Macaca fascicularis: one gene and its partner. The protein of the gene in region 2 interacts with the protein of the main gene of each other region in a pairwise test. Links are inferred from orthologs where the notes say so. Each region holds a gene or a part of one and is shown on either strand. Other genes may lie near its edges.

Region 1 (3,500 bases), on a different chromosome or scaffold from region 2:
AGATAGAAAAAGAAACAAAATCTCCAGTACTCTGATGTGGCAAAAATGAGGTTTGATACTTTAAAATTTTGTTTTTGTTATTGTTTACACTTGGGTTAGAATTATAGATTTGTTGTATTTCTGTGTCTGTATCAGTTTTTAAAATGGAATAACTTTATAAAGAGATTAATAAAACTGTTGTGTTCGTCTGTCCAGAGTTATTTTTCACTTAGAAATCTTTAATGTTCTTTGCCTTAGTTATGGGAAAACAAACTAATGCAGTCCAGGGCAGTAGATGGATTTCATTCAGAAGAGCAGCAGCTTCTACTGCAAGTTCAACAGCAGCATCAACCCCAGCAGCAGCAGCATCACCACCATCACCACCATCAGCAAGCTCAGCCTCAGCAGACAGTACCTCAGCAAGCGCAGACCCAGCAGGTCCTTATTCCTGCATCACAGCAAGGTGAGACTGGATTTGTTTTCCTACTTATGACTTGGAATTAAGTTTGTCGTCATGAAAGAAGAGAAATATTCTACATTTCTTGGATCTTGTCTTTTAAGGGGCGCATGGAGAACCTAAAAATAAACAAACAAAAACCCCTATGTTGATTTTGGGCTTTTTTTCCACTTTCTCTTGGCTGAGGGGTGTGGGTGTATGTAAATGTATATAAATTTGTATAAAACGTAGGTTGTATCTGTAGAGTAATGGTAGACAAGTAATTTACTAATTGAAAGCCTAAGTTGTATTACTATTTAGTTTTGAAAAGGCTATGTAGTGATGGATTTCCTGAAATAAGTTAAACCTAAAAGGTTTATTTACTAAGGACTTTATTATTTTATATGGTAAAATAGTTATTTGCTTTCTCTATGAAACATGTTCTTTCAGAGACATGTTTCAGATTAGTTTTTAAAATATATCTTAAATTCTAGAGTTTTTTGTATACTTTGGCAATCTGAAAATTCAGTTCCATAGTAATTTATGTAAGCCTAAACGGACTGAATTAGATTTATTATAAGTTAAGCGTGGATATATAACATATCTTAATTTATATTTCTTGGATTAAAGCTAAGAAAAAGCAAATATTCGTAGACTGTGTCCATAGTGCTTTGTACTCTGCAAGTCATTTTATAGATACTGTTTCATTGGCACCTTATAAGGGCTTTGTAAAATAGCCCTTGGCTCAGTTTCACAGCTGAGGAAAATCTGAGCCCAGAAAACGCTAAGAAACTTGATCTGTATTTTCTCTCATGACACACGTCTATTCAGTTATAAAACTTTCTGAGCATTCTAATTCAGTGCATCTGCTTTTATGGGAGAGGACACTAGAAGTAGATGAAAAGTTCATTTTAATGTAATCATTTAGTTACTTATTTGCCTCATTTGACAGTATATATATGTGTCTCAAAATTGGTAATGATACACAGTAGAAGAGTCTATTTGGGTTATTTTACTGTTGACGTCTAGTGGTAGTTTTCATACCTAATTTTAGTGTATACTTTGTATCAAATAATTTTATCCCTTTATTATTTTTTGATGACTGTTCTTCCTGTTGCCTTCAGACCTGGCATTAGGATTTTAGGTCATCATAAATTAAAATTTGATTTTCTTCACTCAGAGAATATTAGGATAATGGAGTTATCCGTCTGTTCTCTGAAATTTGCGGAATCAAACATTTAATTCCTTTTATGCTTAAGTAACATTGCCATTATTTCTGATTTGTATTTTTTCCAACTTGGGCCCGTTCACCACTCTTCAGGCAACCTGGTGGTCCTCTGCTTTCAGGAGGCCACCATATTGATGCCGAACTTAGTTGGACACCCAATCAGCATAGCGCACTATAGCCCAAAACTCCTGGGCTCAAGCGATCCTCCCACCTCAGCCTTCTGAGTTGCTGGGACTACAGGCATGCATCCCTGCATCCGGCTGATTTGTATTTTTTAAACAGCCGATGAAAGTAGCATGAGTCTGTCAACTTTCATGTTGGAAGAAAAGGACTATGTAGGTTTCAAAAACTAGTCACAATTTTTTGAGCTTACTTTTATTGGATTAGTAACTCATTGCAACAGTGGTATCATTGTATCAGTAAAACAAAATTATGAGTTGAGTTAAGACAAAATTATGTTTGAAAATATCCAGTTTACTTAGGAATGCATAGAACTGTGTATGTGTGTATGTTTAGGTGTTAAGTAACTCACTACTTCATGTTCCTAAATGCCCTTGCATCCTTAGGAATTGTCACTTAAAAAATTTTTTTTTTTTTTGAGATGGAGCTTGTCACCCATGCTGGAGTGCAGTGGCATGATCTCGGCTCACTGCAACCTCCAGTTCCCGAGTTCAAGTGATTCTCATGCCTCAGCCTGACACCCAGCTAATTTTTTTGTATTTTTAGTAGAGACGGAGTTTCACCATGATATTGGCCAGTCTGGTCTCGAACTCCTGACCTCAAGTGATCCGCCCGCTTTGGCCTCCCAAAGCTTAAATATTTGTGTTTTCTAGTATAGGGTGGGTATATCACAGCTGTTATTTGCCGTATAAATTTATACTGTCCTGAGAGCAAATGATTGAAAGCATTTGAGTGCAGAAAACATGGAAAACATGAAAAAAGTTTTCATCATTGTATGTAAAATGTTCTTGTGATCAGAAAATAGCCTCATGGTTCCTTGTTTACATGTGTACTTGTTTTTTTGTAGCCACAGCACCACAAGTTATTGTTCCAGATTCTAAGTTGATACAGCATATGAATGCATCAAACATGGTAAGACTCAGAATGTAGCAGTTTGATTGGCTGTACTTAATTCTAACTCAAATTGTGATTATGCCTATATATGTCATATATTAACAACTTGAAGTTTATTGAAGACTCAGGCAGAACAGCTATTTTAGTTTAGTTTCCTGAATATTGGATCTGAAGTTTAGCTTGGTACCTAGACATTAAGGTTCATAAAATTATGGAATTGTTTAAGAATACTAAAAGAATGGTGCTTTGTGAGAGTTACTCCATTCCCTACTATGTCCGAAAAAGTTTATAATGCCAAACTTATAATGCCAAGTATGGTTCTGTTTCAGGAGACCTGGTAATTGCAAGAAGTTGGGAAGGCTAAGAATTGTTAACTTTTAAAAAATGAAGATGAACTGTTTGGATAGTTCAGTATAACTATTTTTAAAATCAAGCATTTAAAAATATTGCTTTGACTTAACCATAGTATAGTCTAATAAGTCATTATAGTGTGTAAATTACCAAAGAATACATTTTAACCAGTTGAGTTACATTAGAAGTTTTATATTTCTGAGGACTATCCACTAAACTTTACAAGTCCTCACTCATTTTCAAATTACATTTCAGACATATAATATTTCTCAACAAATATAGTATAGTTTAACTGTGAACTTGAAAGAACCTCTTCAGATCCTTAGAAAATCTTTACCTATATGCTTGAAGTTGTTTTCTTTTTTTTTTTTTTTTTTTTTTTGGATAAAACATTAAAATACAGTCAGAGTAGTTCAACACTTCCTTATAAAT
Region 2 (3,500 bases):
AAGTTTCCCTAGGACTTCTTGGGGCAACTTTTTTGTCCTTTAGGCAACTGATACCTTTAGAATTTGAGTGGTGAACTTGACACTGCATATTTTTTGGACAAAAAAAAAAAAAAGATTTCCTCTAGCTCTCCATTGATTGTTGGTTTCTTGTCACCATCCATGACCAACAGTGATTCCATGTGTAGCAGTTTCTACAGTGGTTGCTAATCTAGGGATTGTGTAAGCTTTTAGGGAAGAAGTGTTTCTAAACAGAAGATTAGAAATAGGGAGTTTATTGGGAAAGAGAGAAATAGATCAAAAATCAAGTTGACTTTAGAGTGCTGTTGCTGCTTATGTTTTTTTCTGGGTCACTCCATTACTTTAAATGACTATTACGTATACAGCACTTTTACTTAGAAGAGTTCTCAAAGAGCCTCTAGTCTAGTAAGAGAGACATGTGAACAAATAAATACAATGCAGGGCCCTCATGGAAGTATGTTCTAGGAATAGATAACATAAATAATAGAGAGATCTGTTTGGTCTGGGAGGAGGAGTGCACAAACTGAACTTGAAGACTTTTGGAAGCACTTGTTAGTCAAATAGTTAAATCAAAAAAGGACATCTTTGTTAGATTCCATGACTTGGTGATTGAAAATTTGCAATATACAAGATCCAGAGAGTGCACTGTGTGCTCTTGTATTACTCGGGGGAGGCCCTGAACTGGATTGAGCCCAGGCAAGAGCTCAAACAGAATGGTGAACAAATCCTGAAGTGCTGCTGTTGATAGTCTGGGGACTTGGAATGTTTGGTTTAATTTTAAGTTTTAATACTACAACTGACTCATTGTCAGTTTGAGATAAACAAAGTATAAGTTTTAAAATCTCTGTCCTGAAGCAGATTGCTCATATGTACAAGAGCAGTAGGTACAGCTATAGTCAGACTGACCTGTAGAAGAAGAGACCACCAAACCTTTTCACCTTTTGAAAACTGCTAAGGATAGAGTTACTCAAAACTGGGACCTAGAGAGTTAATAGAATTTCAAAGATTGTGATTACTTGGATTATATATAGCACACCAGAGTGGGAGAGTGCTTTTTCTCCCCTTGTGTTTTTCAGTGTGTTTTGCCAGGATCAGTGAGTGTGTGCCAGATAGAAGAGGGACTAACTATGTTCCCTTCTTTCTGTTCTGTGTGCCTGTTTTTTGTTTGTTTTATGTTTTGTTTTCTTAAAGTTACAGTCCCTGTTTCAGGCATGATCACTATCCCAGCAGCCAGTTTGGCAGGAGCACAGATTGTTCAGACAGGAGCCAATACCAACACAACCAGCAGTGGGCAAGGGACTGTCACTGTGACACTACCAGTGGCAGGCAATGTGGTCAATTCAGGAGGGATGGTCATGGTAAGAAAATGTATTTTTCAGCTTTGTCTTCGAAATTTTCTTGAACATGCAACTTGATGCCTCCTAAAATTTATTATGTTGACCTCTTGGGATTGAGATCGATCCTTAAGGCAGTCAGTAATCTACTTTTACAATAACATTATGACAAACCATAATTCATTCTGGGCACCTACTGTGTGCCAGGGACTATTCACCAGGGACTATTCTAGATGCTGGAGATCAAGCAATGGATAAATAATGATTTTATGCAATTCTTTTCAGAATTCAAATAATGAAGGGAATAATATATTAATCTTTGAGAAGTGGAAAGTAGTATTGCCCATGATGGACGAAATAAGAAATAAGCTAAAAATTAGAAAGATTGTAATTGATAGAGAAACCAAAAAAAAAAAAGTATGATATAAATGTATTGGGAAGATAGGAAGACTTGGGTGGTGTGAGTGAAAGCTAAATCCTCATATGTCAAAATAGGATGTTAAAATGCATAGATTAAGAATGAGTAACAGAAGTCTGCACAGAGGTGGAGGAAGCTATGAAAAGAAACAGAAGCAAGCCTGGCTCAGTGGCATGCACCTGTAGTCCTAGCTACTCGGGAGGCTAATCCAGGAGGATGGCTTAAGTCCAGGAGTTTGAGCTCAGCCTCGGCAACATACGAGACCTTGTTTCTACGAACTAAATGATAAATAAATAATTTTTATAAAAGATTAATATAGTTATTCAAAGCAGTTGTATCTGGGAAAGAGCTGTGGGGTACAGGACTCTGTTACTTGTTTTCACATTTAGTACAGTGTTTTGGTGTTTTTTAAGAAAAATTAGGATTGAACTATAAGTTAACTATTAAATTATTTTTATAAATATAGGCATTTAGTAGCACTTGGTCTCATCTATTTTTGTGCTGTTTTTTTGTCTTATGACTACTGTTCCTGACCATTAGATGGCAGCAGAAATATCTACAGCCATGGGTAGACATGAATTAGGGCGTGCTTATATAGTTTCTCAGAGTGGCACCTGAACCTCCTATGACACAGTTATCTGGGGTGTTTGTTTAATGTACAGATCTTAAATTTCTCCAGGGATCTGCATTTACCCAAGTACCCTATACAAATTACTTTTTGTGGCATTTAGAAAAAAATGGATGAAGAGAAACCAAGAAACTCTATGTCCATACTTCATGCCACCAATAAGCTCTGGTTTCCTGTTCACACAGATGGTTCCTGGGGCTGGCTCTGTGCCTGCTATCCAAAGAATCCCTCTACCTGGAGCAGAGATGCTTGAAGAAGAGCCTCTCTACGTGAATGCCAAACAATACCACCGTATTCTTAAGAGGAGGCAAGCCCGGGCTAAACTAGAGGCAGAAGGGAAAATTCCAAAGGAAAGAAGGGTATGTATAACATTGGGAAGGATATAGGAGAGGAGAATAGCAGGGTTCTACTTTTGAAATTATCTTTTATATGGCTTGTTTTCTCATGTACCTTCCAAAAAATTGACGTTAGATACTTATCTCTTTTGTAAGAGTTAGCATTTGTTATTACTGTATGCAGCTGCAGTTATAACAACGAAAACAAACAGTGGCTTAAATAAGATGTTACTCTTTTTCATGCATAAAAGTAGTCCAGAGATAAATTATCTTGGACTGGCAGCACATTTTCACAGTTCTCAAGACCTGTTTCACTGCTTTAATATTGCTAGTGTGCTGTTCATAGTCCAAGATTCCTGCTTAGACTCCAGCCTAGGAAGAAAGGGAATAAGAAAGGTATCCTTTCTTTCTTTTTTTTTTTTTTCTGAGACTGAAGCTTGCTCTGTCACCCAGGCCGGAGCACGGTGGCACAATCTCAGCTGACTGCAACCTCCCTTCCAGGTTCAAGTGATTATCCTGCCTCAGCCTCCTGAGTAGCTGGGATTACAGGTGCGCGCCACCACACATAGCTTATTTTTGTATTTTTAGTAGAGGTGGGGTTTCACCATATTGGCCAGACTGGTCTCGAACTCCTGACCTCCAGTGATCCACCTGCCTCGGCCTCCCAAAGTGCTGGGATTATAGGCGTAAGCCACCGTACCCGGCCAGGTACCCTTTCTTTCAAGGAAACTTGCAAGAAGTCGTGTACCTTTCACTAGCCAGAATTT

Evidence for each region.
Region 1: the proteins of NFYA (region 2) and GTF2A1 interact in binary tests that used the Homo sapiens proteins (3 or more experiments, as listed by UniProt). The two-hybrid records come from large-scale screens. The link is inferred for Macaca fascicularis from reciprocal best matches to the Homo sapiens genes NFYA and GTF2A1.

What each region holds. Positions count from the first base shown.
Region 1 is NC_088381.1:149,170,862-149,174,361, reverse strand, and holds part of GTF2A1 (transcription initiation factor IIA subunit 1), read left to right. Parts: intron 1-237; coding exon 238-442; intron 443-1,511; exon of another isoform or gene 1,512-1,655; intron 1,656-2,670; coding exon 2,671-2,735; intron 2,736-3,500. UniProt on the Homo sapiens protein: TFIIA is a component of the transcription machinery of RNA polymerase II and plays an important role in transcriptional activation. TFIIA in a complex with TBP mediates transcriptional activity.
Region 2 is NC_088378.1:130,499,173-130,502,672, reverse strand, and holds part of NFYA (nuclear transcription factor Y subunit alpha), read left to right. Parts: intron 1-1,209; coding exon 1,210-1,376; intron 1,377-2,583; coding exon 2,584-2,757; intron 2,758-3,500. UniProt on the Homo sapiens protein: Component of the sequence-specific heterotrimeric transcription factor (NF-Y) which specifically recognizes a 5'-CCAAT-3' box motif found in the promoters of its target genes.